Arabidopsis thaliana: one gene and its partners. The protein of the gene in region 1 interacts with the protein of each later gene in a pairwise test. Each region holds a gene or a part of one and is shown in the gene's direction. Other genes may lie near its edges.

Region 1 (4,886 bases):
TTATGTTAGTCATACTTTCTACGTGATTATCTAATAAATCTCGTTTATCTAAACCTGTCCACACGTTGACAACGGTTTATCATCAAATCTCCAAACCTCTAAAAACATTGGGGGTTCGGAGTTAAAAAAAAAGCAAGAAAAAAGAGAGATAGTGAGCGTAAGTGAAAACAGCCATGGAAGAGGTAAAGGGGAAAAGAACCATCAGTAACACTTGGAAACTTGTTACAAGGTCCCAAACTGACCCCTTTGAAGGAATGCCTCTGCATCTGAAAGAGAAGATTCTCATGAAATTGAAGGCCAAAATCATATCGACGTTCATCCTCCTTTCCAAGTCCTGGTCATCGATAGTCCTTAACAAAGATTTCACCAACATGTATTTGATAATAAAGTTCTTTGAATCTTTGAATCGACCACGTCTTCTTTTGGCAGTCGACGATCGAGAAATAAATATGCAGTTCTTCCACTCTTGCTCTCGAGAGGATCCATCTTCTGATCATCAAACGGTTGGCTGTTACCCTGATTCGTATCCGCGTATCTGGTATGACTTTTCTCCACCTGTTCGTGGCTTGATCTGCTGTCTAAACAATTCTACTAAAGTGGTAATTGGAAATCCTACTACTTGTCAATTTGAAACTTTACCGAGAGTCAGAACCAAAATATACCAAGAAATATTTCCCTTCTTTGGATACGATCATGTTAAGGATGAATACAAAGTCTTGTGCATGACGATATCGGATGAGTACTATAGTAGATCAGGAAATATTGTGTCCAAGGAGCATAAAGTTTTCACTCTAGGATGTAAACAGAAGAAATGGAGAATGATCGAATGTACGATTAATCATTATCTTACTCCTGGAACTCAAGGAATATTTAGCAATGGGGTTATCTATTACTTCGCTAGGGTCAATGATGATCAGTCGCTAATGTGCTTTGTTGTGGGGTCTGAAAAGTTTAGTGTCGTTGAGTTACCGAGGCCGGCCGTCGAAGTTCTAGCGAACTACGGCGAAAAGATAGCTGTAACGAATTTGTTATATGCTAGTAATGATAGACTTTTTGTATGGATTCTAGAAGATGCCAGCAAACAAGAATGGTCAAACTTTTGTGTCTTGGTTCCTTCTTGGGTAGATATATAGATTTCGACCATTCAGCTTCACGGGTATACTTGGAACCGGCGAGCTTATATTTACACCGGGCTTAAAGCGTGGCCCCTTCTATTTACTGTGTTACGATCTCAAGGAACACACAGCTAGAAAAATCTGCTTCAAAAGAATTGGTTATTATACTTCTTTGAAAGTCTTTTTGGATCATGTAGAGAATCCTATGGTTCTGCCAAAGATAAGGCAATCGGTTGGTGATGAGTTCTTTGGTGTTGCATGAACTAATCTCTCTTCTTTCTTTTCTTATTTTTCAAGTTTCAATTAAGTGGTCGGATATTATTTGTTTAAGACTAGTTCTTATTGGATTTGATGGTCACCCATTGGTTAGTCTTTTGATCAATGGATATTTATGTCTGTGGAATATTGTAATGCAATGTTTTTTTTCTCAACATCTTTGGAATGCAATGTTTATGACTTAACAAGAAAAATGTTTATGACTTGATTATAATAATCTCTGGTTTTGTGCGGAGCTTATACAGCTTCGGTTTTCTTCTTATTTGATTTCTTTTGGGGAGAACAAAGAGTTTTGTGTTTGGCTAGATGGATCTTTATCATCATTTTGGTCGCCTTTTGAATTTTATTTCATAAAGAAATCTTATGTATAAGAAAATAAAACTAATATCGATTCTGAAATAGCAAAAATACCTCAATATTTTCACTAAATCATAAAACGAACTACATTCATCATACAACACATTGTAACATTTCACCATTAATTTCTTAACCCAAGCAACAAGCCAATAAGTAGATAGTTTTTGTTTGACTAAACATACACACGTGTTCGGAGTTTGATGTACACGCGCTGACTGCGCGTGGATGTAATATAATCTTAATTCTTAAGTATATTCGTCGACGTTGCCTTGTTCCAAAGTTATAAACCGTGTGGAACCATCGAGAAGCGAAGCCAGAATAAATTTTCGAATCCTCCGACGATGACGGAATCAACATCCGTGGTTGCTCCTCCGCCGGAGATACCTAATCTGAACCCTAGCATGTTTTCTGAGTCCGATTTGTTTTCTATTCCGCCGCTAGATCCTCTTTTCCTATCTGATTCTGATCCGATTTCAATGGATGCGCCAATCTCCGATCTCGACTTCTTACTCGACGATGAGAACGGAGATTTCGCTGATTTTGATTTCTCGTTTGATAATTCTGATGATTTCTTCGATTTCGATTTATCGGAGCCCGCGGTGGTGATCCCTGAGGAGATCGGTAACAATCGTTCGAATTTGGACTCATCGGAAAACAGAAGCGGCGATGGAGGTTTAGAAGGAAGATCTGAGTCTGTTCATTCACAGGTTTCATCTCAAGGCTCCAAGACTTTTGTGTCCGACACCGTTGACGCATCATCCTCCCCTGAATCAAGCAATCACCAGAAATCTTCTGTTAGCAAGAGGAAGAAGGAAAATGGAGACTCCAGTGGCGAATTAAGGAGCTGCAAGTACCAAAAGTCCGATGATAAATCAGTCGCTACGAACAACGAAGGTGATGATGACGACGACAAGAGGAAGTTGATAAGGCAGATTAGGAACCGTGAAAGTGCTCAGCTTTCGAGGTTGAGGAAGAAGCAACAAACTGAGGAGCTTGAAAGAAAAGTGAAGAGTATGAATGCTACCATTGCTGAATTGAATGGTAAGATTGCTTATGTTATGGCTGAGAATGTCGCTTTAAGGCAACAAATGGCTGTTGCTTCTGGTGCTCCTCCTATGAATCCTTATATGGCTGCCCCGCCTTTACCGTATCAATGGATGCCGTATCCGCCGTATCCTGTTAGGGGATATGGATCACAGACACCTTTGGTTCCCATTCCTAAGTTAAATCCTAAGCCTGTCTCGAGTTGTAGACCGAAGAAGGCAGAGAGTAAGAAGAATGAGGGTAAAAGTAAGCTCAAGAAGGTTGCTAGTATTAGTTTTATTGGAATTCTCTTCTTTGTCTTCTTGTTTGGTACATTGGTTCCTTTTATGAATGTAAATTTTGGAGGAGAACGTGGAAGCTTTGGCGGTTTGTCTAAATATGATGGCCACCGGTATTACGATGAACATAAGGGGAGGGTTTTAATGGTCGGCGATGGTTCTGATGTTAGAAGAAATAGTGGAATTTCTGAAGGAAATATCCATTCTAGTAGGATTAGTCATGGTGAGAGAGATAGTTGTGGAGGAGTAGATTATAATGCTCATCCGAAAGTAGAAGGACGACCAAGTTCGTTGAGCAATGCCAGTGATCCTCTCTTTGCTTCTCTCTATGTCCCAAGAAACGATGGGCTTGTGAAGATCGATGGGAACTTGATAATTCACTCTGTTTTGGCGAGCGAGAAAGCAAGGGGTTTAGGAAAGAAGAATATCACTGAAACAGTAAAAACTAAAGAACCGGATTTGACCATTCCTGGTGCACTGTCTTCTGCATTAGCTGTTCCGGGGGTAAGAGGAAATGCAGCAATGCTTCCGCATTCAACAGCTCTCTCTTCTGAAGGGAAAAGACTTCACCAATGGTTTCATGAAGGTGGCTCAGGTAATTCTTGTTCTCTATGTAGTTTCTACTAAATGGAGTGATCTGGATTTTCAACTCTACATTGCATTCTCTTGCAGGGCCACTAATGGATTACAGCATGTGCACCGAGGTTTTCCAGTTTGATATTGCTCCTGGTGCTATAGTCCCGTCATCAGTCTCCAGCATTTCTGCGGAGCATCTCCAAAATGTCACTACCCACGGCAAGAGAATGAAGAACAGGAGAATCCTTGAGGGACTTCCTGTTTCACTTGTGGCGTCAGAGCTCAATATCACCGGAACCCAGCCAAACAAAGACGCTCAAAATAAGACCTTTAATGGAAACACTAACAAACCCACATCATCATCCTCCATGGTTGTCTCAGTGTTACTTGATCCAAGAGAGGTCGTTGACTCTGAAACCGACAGAGTGGTTCCCCCAAACCCAAAATCACTTTCCCGGATCTTTGTGGTGGTGCTTCTTGACAGTGTCAAGTACGTTACCTACTCATGCGTTCTTCCTCGATCGGGTCTCCATCTCGTAGCCACCTGATTTGAGCTACTCAGATCTTGACCTTAAGTAGGCGAACATTGACTTGTTTATACATACAGACCTTGTTGACTTTTTTTCCCTGTGTTGTATAACTCTTATGTTCTAAGGTTTTGGATTTTAATTTTGAGATAAGCATAAAGTGGAATCCTTGTTTTAAAGGCATTTCCAATAGCTTTAGGCTGTATAATACATCCGATGGTTGCAGAACTTTTCTAATTTAGAAGATATAATATACAAAAGAAGCTCTTAGAGCATATATATTCAATTGGGACTTAAGTAGAAGGCTGCACCCTTTTGTGCAGCATCATTCTATAACAACTCTTCCGGTTCTGTATCTAGTTTCCATATGAATTCATTTTATACATTTAAAAGTTTTGAGTACTCTGTCGATACAGTTTACTAGACATGTTAATGTCGTTATTCATGAAGCCAGGCCACTATCAGCATGAGAAGGACAATCCATGGCATAGCTGGTAAAACCTCAATCGCTGCTGCCAAACACAGAAAGAAGAAGGCATTTGATTAGAATTGGGAGTCTATGATTTGATATATCTTTGCTAAATTGGAAGACTTTAAGTAGCAACTTACATGAAGAGGACTGCGGTTGAGGATGAGCAACTTCGTTTGCATGTGGTTCCCGTGGTTCCGTTATGGGTGGTTGAGCTGCATGGGCAAACACCACATGTGGTAGA
Region 2 (4,438 bases), on another chromosome or scaffold:
TTTTCATAGCTTTATTCTTCGGTCAAGATGTCATTCTTGGAACAAGAAAAATGTTTATATGACTAATATGGTTGTGACATTCGATTAATTAATTATAGATTTCGGATGACATTTTAATTTTTTAGTATTTCTATTCTAGATATATTTTTGGTAATAAAGCTAGATTTGACAATATGATTGATGTTAAATTTAAGATTTATATGACAACTATAACAAGAGGTATTTCTAAATCTAAGTTTTACTTAATTTTTCTCTATAATCTATTTGAATCAATATACTTTTGAACACCCCTTCGATAAAAATTAGTATATTTATCTTCACAATTATAAAAGAATCTCATCCTTATCTTTCTATCAAATTTATGAATTTGGTCTCATCTCTATCTTTTTCTTTTGCTTTTACTTTGTGTAAGTGGTATTTTTTTTTTTTTTTTGTATCATGGATTAAACTAGATTATGACGGTTTGATCTTGATGGTTGGGGTTTAAGTCTTATTAACTAAAATCGTTCTTTTGAGGCGATCTTTGTAGGAAAAACCAAACTAGGATAGATTTGTGCTCAAATGAACTAACATAGAAATCTAAAACTGAAAATAAGAGACCTCATTAAGCTTATTGCACAAAACAAAAGTATGAGGGGAAAAGATTTAGATTGTCCCCAAGAATAGAATGACTTTAGTTTTGATTTCAAAGAAGGGGATAGACTATGGAGTTAAGTGACAACTCTCTACGTTAGTCTCACTGTTCTCACTACATGATTATATATAAGAGACTACTTGCTCATCTACTTAACCTAATTACATGAACTTGTGTTGGGTTTTTCCAATATCATGAACTTATAATCTTTGGTTTTGTTAGGAATGCTCTTTTAATCTCAGTGCTAAATTATGCTTGATATTTATAACTTTTTTTTTTTTTTTTTATATTTATAACTTTATACGTGCTGACATGCACTTGAGGACTTTGAGGTGTCGAATCAAGAATCATGATGATAAGGAGTTTAGGGATGAAAGCAGACTATATAATCGTATAGGTGATTAAGTAAGCATGGTTATTTAATGACTGCTCAGTCACTTCATTTACTTGTGTATTAATCATGTTTACTAGTTAGTTTTCGTCCATTTCCAAACGCTAATTTGTTGTTCAATGACTGCTCACTCACTTCATTTACGTTAAACGTTTCTTACTTGTCGAATGCATACTTACTTGATTTTGACCTATAGTTACTTGTCGAATACTGTGACCTCGTATAAGTGATCAAAGGCGTTACAACTTTTGGTGGTCTTTTACACATAAGTGATAGTTTTCAATTATTTTTCGAGTCAAAGCAATTAGCAAATACTTTTTTAGGAAAGTTTTTTTTTTCTTTTTTTTTTTTTGGGCAAAATTTTTAGGAAACTTATAAATAATAAGTTACTTATTATGGAATCATGTACTGTTTTTTTCTGAAGTCACTCATCACTCGTTCGTTTAAGTAGGTTTTGTTTTGTCACTGAACCGAAGTCAAACCAATCTAAATACCAAAGCTGGTTTAATGTCTCTGAAATTCGAACAAAACCAAAAGCGAACGGAATCTTCGGTTTCGATACCGACGCTTCTTTGATGACTCACAACGAAAGATATATTTGAGGGCAACGGGCACAAGTAGGGTCAGGCAAAACTAGTGGAGTTGAACAATCGATAACATATTCGGGCAGCTTTTCAGATCTGCCCGTCTTTTCCTACAATCTCGATCGTTGTTTCGACACTTGTCCTCATTGTATTAGCCTCCTTTTCACTGTTGCACATCGTGTCGTTTACCACTCCTACACATTTTCGTGGTTCTGAGTTGACCTATCACTACAGTGTGAGTGGAAAACATGAAAACGGCACGATGTTAATGAATATTAGAGAAGGACGGAGGCTATGAACTGAAAAAACGACATGGTGTGTCCCTCTTGGGTCTAGCCGTTTAGGCCTCTGTTAGTCATTTCGTCTCTTCCTTAGTTAGAACAAAAAAGGAGAGACCTTTAACAATTTTCTGAGGGTAAGATCCAGAGATTGATTGAATCAGCTTACTATTTTATATAATTCAGGTAAATTCTTATGTTTCTTTCCCTCCAGATTTTGAAAGTTTCTAGCTTTTGTTGTTCTGTATCTACTCGTTTCCGGGAAAATGCTTTTGCTATGTATGTTGAGATGTGATAGTAGAGGTTAAGATTGGTTTTTCTCTGTTCTGGGTTTGCTTTAGATTCTAGGGTTGTGATTGAATTCTGATTTTGGGGTTTTGGTTTAGTGAATTCCGATTCTCAAACTCTTGGCTTTGGTACTGACTTTTGTGCTTTGTTGTTGTTTCAGTTTGTTGTTCCTCAGACTTGTAACTAGGACAGTCTTCTCATGAATCATGACTTCTTCAGTACATGAGCTCTCTGGTTTTGTCTCTCTTTCTGACCATTTTCATTATGCTCTCGTTTTATTGTTGTATCTTCCTAACTGATTCTTGGTGGTATGTTTTGCTGGTCAGATAACAATGAAAGTCATGCGAAGAAAGAACGTCCAGATTCCCAAACCCGACCACAGGTTCCTTCAGGACGAAGTTCGGAATCTATTGATACAAACTCTGTCTACTCAGAGCCCATGGTAATTTCTCTCAGCCAAAATCTCAACTATTTGTGCAGGCTACATTCAATGAGTGATCTTTATTTCGATTATATGATATTTGGTTTAGTTTCTGTGTGATCTTGCTCTCGGTTATAATATGTTTGCTTGTGATTCTCTTTTTCAATGCTAAAAGTTTTGTTTTGATGCTTACAATGCCAAAACTTGGTTGTTTGAGATAATTCAAGCAAGAAAGTCCCGGGATCATCGCCTTTCTGCAGTTTTAGACTTCGTACGAATGTAAACTTTGATTGCTTTGAAAATCAGTCTTGAGATGCAGTGTAATGATAATGTTGATTCCAAGTAATGCTAAACTTTTTAACCTGAGATGATACGGTTTTTGTTTTTGTGTGTGTTGGTATTGAAGGCACATGGATTATACCCGTATCCAGATCCTTACTACAGAAGCGTCTTTGCACAGCAAGCGTATCTTCCACATCCCTATCCTGGGGTATGTATTATTTATTACTCAGCCCCAACGTCTCCGGTTTGGAATATTTAGAAAAGCTTTTGTTTTATTTTTAAAGTTTTTTTTTCAGGTCCAATTGCAGTTAATGGGAATGCAGCAGCCAGGAGTTCCATTGCAATGTGATGCAGTCGAGGAACCTGTTTTTGTTAACGCAAAGCAATACCATGGTATACTCAGGCGCAGGCAATCCCGGGCAAAACTTGAGGCACGAAATAGAGCCATCAAAGCAAAAAAGGTAAAATCCTGGCGGGCAAGTGCTGTAATTTGTTTGGTAGAATCCTTCCCAATAAGTTGTAATTTCTTGTTTTCAGCCATACATGCATGAATCTCGGCATTTACATGCGATAAGACGGCCAAGAGGATGTGGTGGCCGGTTTCTCAATGCCAAGAAGGAAAATGGAGACCACAAGGAGGAGGAGGAGGCAACCTCTGATGAGAACACTTCAGAAGCAAGTTCCAGCCTCAGGTCCGAGAAATTAGCTATGGCTACTTCTGGTCCTAATGGTAGATCTTGAGGAAGGTTTCTGCACAACCACAAGTTTAGTTTCTATTTTGGGTGGATGTTCTCAGGGCATCATCGTCTTTAGTGTTTTTGGATACGCTGTGTACAGGTTATTTGCTAGGGTAAACTTTGTTTTAGCGATTAGAAATAAAACTAAGCAAAGAAATGAAAAGTGTGATTGGAAGTATTGTTGTACCAAATTGATATTCTTTGCCAATGAACTCATGTTTTGGAAAGTAAATTAATGTTCTTAGCTTTGTTTGCTATGATTTTGAGGATAACTAACACTGATGATAACTACCACTGTGGATTAGTCCATTGTTAGACTAGACTGTTTATTGGTATTCTTCTATATATATGAAATGCATTCTACAGGATCGGATTTGACGTTGTAATTTAGGAGACAAGTAAAACAAGAATTCTTCCGATCTCATAATGTGGTCAATCACTAGGCTCGTTTTCATTTTTAATGAACACATTGCATGCATATCCGACCATATGCTCTTCCGATGATACATTTTGAATGACACGACATACATTATTTTACAATCACAATTCTCTTTTTATACGAGGTATTGTTTCTTTTCTCGACTTGTAGCTCTGTTTTAGTTTTGTCAAGTCTTTAGACCTGTTTACACCATTTTATTATTATCTTCTTTACCACATATAAACTTAGCCTTTTTCTTATATTCACAAAGAGACCATATTTCACCATTCCATTGATGATATATTGGTTAGATGTGTTGGGATAGAATTTGAAACATTGATTTCTGCGACCAAATGGATTCGTTTTGGGAAGAAGGTAGAATAATCTTAGTTTACCACTTTTTTT
Region 3 (4,079 bases), on another chromosome or scaffold:
TGTAGTACATGTGGTAAGTATTCCCGCTTACATACAAACAAAAAAGTAATATACAAAAGGAAATATATGCTTTACGTAGTTAAATAGCTTTGTTAGAGTCCTCTCTATTAGTTTAATTACAAAATTTGCAATCCTTATATTTCTTCATAGGTATTTAATTAGCATTATAAAAGAACTATATCATAGAAAATATACACTATTAACTTTCGATAAGTGACTTTATGAACCACGTCATTAGATCACAAGTCAGGTTAATACAATTGTCCTAAAATTATAATTAATGTAAATAATGTGTTACTAAAATTATAATTACTAATGCTATTATTGACAAGTTCGGTTGATAAGCAAGTCCAAAATCAAATCTCATCAATCAGACTTCTTGGGGACAAGAGATACGACCTCCAAATTTGGTTTTTGTCCAGAAGTTAAAACTAACATCATCTAGCTTTTTAATATTTCTATTGGTGTTTAAAACTTGTCTTCTATTCGTTTCTAATTGAAATTGCACTTTATCTACTTTTTTTAAAATATAATTTAACATTTTATTGAAAAATATATAATCATCAACTGCTTTTAATGTTAAACTACTTTTTAAGTACTTTTTGAAAAAGTGTAATTATTCACACAATCTTGAAATAATTTTCATCGTAAAACAATTTAATAGATGTTAATGTTGGAAATATATAAACATCAGGAATTTGAGGATGGATCTCTGTATACTCCTCATCCTCTGTATTATATTATTTAGATAGAGATTAATGATAATAAGCTACCAAACCATTAGCTAATTCACTATAGTAATATCTATTCCTATTTTAAGTTATGACTACAAAACATTAGCAAATAAACCTTAAATGAGTATGAAGAAAATAGTAAAATATATTTATTCTTTAAAATACATATAATAACAAAAATAAATTTAGAATTGATACAATTAAAGATAAATAATTAATAATAAATGTAAATCTTACATTAATTATTGAATGAACACATAGAAAATAATTAAATAATAACGTGACATTCATATGAAAATAGTAGATCAACTTTCACATATATAATTAGTTCACTCATCTGCTAGAGAACTGAAAATTTTACAAATTCATTCATGTGAGATTGAATGAAGATTAATCACTCATTTAAAATTGAATAAGGAAGATAATCCAGAATGTAACATAAATTGACAATATAATATATGATTTTAATTAACAAATTGATAACTTTCAAAGTCTAGAAGATGGTCACGAAGGAAGAAAAGTCCTCTCGGAGAACAAAGATTCAATCGTGGAAGATGTTGACGGTGACAAAGAGAAAAAGGGACTGAAGAATTTTGATTGATTTCTGAGAAATGGTCAAAGAAGCCTTGCTCTCCTTGGTCTCATTGTCCATCTCAACTACATGTACATCGTTTTGACTATAGCTAACTGGTTTACATAACTGTACCGAAAATAAGAAAATCAAACCAAGAGAAAAGAAGTGAATTAGAACCGAGTTATTAATCACACGAACACTTCACTGAGTACACGTGTTCGGCTGTGATCCTATTCTTCCAGCTTGAAGCCTTCTCATTGGTTGTGTGACGGCACATAAAAACAATAATCCTCTGCTAACAGAAACACTATAACACAGTACACTCCATCACATCATTGGCTAAAAATTCAAAAAACGCGTCCATAATCAACACGTGTCATGCTGACTCTTTTTCTACACATTTACTTGGTCGCAAAGAAATTTAGAAAAGTCTCAAACACAGTTCCTATATAACTCATCTCTCTTCCAATTTCTTAAATTAAATTCGCTTTTTTTTTTCTTCTTTGTATATTTTTTTTTTTTTGACCATGGCGGAGGAATTTGGAAGCATAGATTTACTCGGAGATGAAGATTTCTTCTTCGATTTCGATCCTTCAATCGTAATTGATTCTCTTCCGGCGGAGGATTTTCTTCAGTCTTCACCGGATTCATGGATCGGAGAAATCGAGAATCAATTGATGAACGATGAGAATCATCAAGAGGAGAGTTTTGTGGAATTGGATCAGCAATCGGTTTCAGATTTCATAGCGGATCTACTCGTTGATTATCCAACTAGCGATTCTGGCTCCGTTGATTTGGCGGCTGATAAAGTTCTAACCGTCGATTCTCCCGCCGCCGCTGATGATTCCGGGAAGGAGAATTCGGATTTGGTTGTTGAGAAGAAGTCTAATGATTCTGGTAGCGAGATTCATGATGATGATGACGAAGAAGGAGACGATGATGCTGTGGCTAAAAAACGAAGAAGGTATATCTAATTTTACTCTTGTTTGAAAAGTTAGGGTTTATGGATGGATTTTGTATGTTTGTGTTGATTTTGGTTTCATTAAGATTGTTAAAAGTGTGTTATGCTTTGAGAACAACATTGAGAACTAGGAGATACGTATGTGTAACAGTGAAGATTTGAGAAACGAGTGTTTAAATTTTGCTTGCGTATCTTGTGATATGTTCATGTTATTATGTTTATGTATGTGTGACGTTGAAGAGTTGATTGATTATGAGTGATGTTGATTTTTGTTTCATTTAGATTGCTATAAGTGTGTTATTGTTTTGATAACAACATTGAGAACTAATCATTTAAGTAAATGACTGTTTAAATTTTGGTTGCCTTTAATTATTGTTAATCTTGTGTTAATATTCATGAGCTGATTATGTTCAAACATAGGTATGTGTATTTTGGTTAACTTAAGATTGTTAAAGCCTTTTATGCTATGAAAAGAAACTGAGGTTTGATAATTGGGATGTGATTGTGGTTCAGGAGAGTAAGAAATAGAGATGCGGCGGTTAGATCGAGAGAGAGGAAGAAGGAATATGTACAAGATTTAGAGAAGAAGAGTAAGTATCTCGAAAGAGAATGCTTGAGACTAGGACGTATGCTTGAGTGCTTCGTTGCTGAAAACCAGTCTCTACGTTACTGTTTGCAAAAGGGTAATGGCAATAATACTACCATGATGTCGAAGCAGGAGTCTGCTGTGCTCTTGTTGGAATCCCTGCTGTTGGGTTCCCTGCTTTGGCTTCTGGGAGTAAACTTCATTTGCCTATTCCCTTATATGTCCCACACAAAGTGTTGCCTCCTACGTCCAGAACCAGAAAAGCTGGTTCTAAACGGGCTCGGGAGTAGTAGCAAACCGTCTTATACCGGCGTTAGTCGGAGATGTAAGGGTTCGAGGCCTAGGATGAAATACCAAATCTTAACCCTTGCGGCGTGACAACGCCTTTTTTAACTGCTTCTTTTGCGCATTTTGAGTTGTAGATGAGTGTCTTTTAGTTTTCTCTCTCTTGTTTTGTATTTCGCTGTTGAAAGTTTTCTGTCTAATATCGATAAGTTAACAGTGAATGTGGGTCTTATGGTTATGGATGATATCTATCTAATAATGCTTCTGCCTTTAAAATGTTGATTTTGAGGCATAACTTCAGGTAATATCACTTCTAATTACTAGATAACAATTCATTAGGTTGATTAACATTGATAAAGCTTTTCCTCATGCTAGTTTTTACATGTTTGCTTCATTTGACATTATCACAGTTTTTTTTTTTTTTTTTTTTGTCATCAGATATTATTTAGGGTTCAGACGAGCCAATCTTTGGGATTGTCACAGAGATTTTTGTTTGTAAAATGTTTGGTACGGATGCGTAGGCAGGTAAAAAAAAACGAACAGATAGTTTTATTAGAACAATGAAGATAAGGTAAAACTTCGAATTGTAAAAAAGTTCAAATATTTTCTAGTACATAAGCACTAGAGAAGAGATGATAGATAGTTTGCAGTTCCATCTAAGCAGCATAGAAGTTGTCGATGAAACTAGCTACGGTTCTTTAGAGGTTCCCATTTTGTTTGATGTTCATTTTTCTTTTCTCCAGTATCTCCTTCTCAGCCTCGGCTTGTCTTTCAATCTCCTCGCGAGACTTGTAGAACGTTTCCACGAAACGGGTCAGGATGTTGGTCGCTGCAGATAGGGAGAATAGCCAGAGTAGAAATGAGAACCGCGAAATGTAGACATGAGTACAATAGACAGTAGATGTGATGGTACCTTCCTTGAAGCGAACACCACTTGGA

What was found. Proteins that work in one complex are often made in the same cells at the same time.
Region 2: the proteins of BZIP28 (region 1) and NF-YA4 interact in a protein complementation assay, tested with the Arabidopsis thaliana proteins (one study listed by BioGRID).
Region 3: the proteins of BZIP28 (region 1) and BZIP60 interact in a two-hybrid assay, tested with the Arabidopsis thaliana proteins (one study listed by BioGRID).

The regions. Positions count from the first base shown.
Region 1 is NC_003074.8:3,377,237-3,382,122, forward strand, and holds BZIP28 (Basic-leucine zipper (bZIP) transcription factor family protein), read left to right. Parts: upstream 1-1,931; 5' UTR 1,932-2,089; coding exon 2,090-3,665; intron 3,666-3,742; coding exon 3,743-4,194; 3' UTR 4,195-4,385; downstream 4,386-4,886. Other genes in the region: AT3G10790 (F-box associated ubiquitination effector family protein), read left to right, coding at 174-1,133; AT3G10810 (zinc finger (C3HC4-type RING finger) family protein), read right to left, coding at 4,612-4,685, 4,783-4,886.
Region 2 is NC_003071.7:14,649,199-14,653,636, reverse strand, and holds NF-YA4 (nuclear factor Y, subunit A4), read left to right. Parts: upstream 1-1,927; 5' UTR 1,928-2,073; intron 2,074-2,335; 5' UTR 2,336-2,381; coding exon 2,382-2,409; intron 2,410-2,501; coding exon 2,502-2,617; exon of another isoform or gene 2,618-2,963; coding exon of another isoform or gene 2,964-3,002; coding exon 3,003-3,086; intron 3,087-3,174; coding exon 3,175-3,339; intron 3,340-3,415; coding exon 3,416-3,619; 3' UTR 3,620-3,931; downstream 3,932-4,438. UniProt on the Arabidopsis thaliana protein: Stimulates the transcription of various genes by recognizing and binding to a CCAAT motif in promoters.
Region 3 is NC_003070.9:16,135,216-16,139,294, reverse strand, and holds BZIP60 (basic region/leucine zipper motif 60), read left to right. Parts: upstream 1-1,831; 5' UTR 1,832-1,835; coding exon 1,836-2,272; intron 2,273-2,782; coding exon 2,783-3,233; 3' UTR 3,234-3,572; downstream 3,573-4,079. Other genes in the region: AT1G42980 (Actin-binding FH2 (formin homology 2) family protein), read right to left, coding at 3,839-3,969, 4,054-4,079. UniProt on the Arabidopsis thaliana protein: Transcription factor involved in the unfolded protein response (UPR). Acts during endoplasmic reticulum stress (ER) by activating unfolded protein response (UPR) target genes via direct binding to the UPR element (UPRE).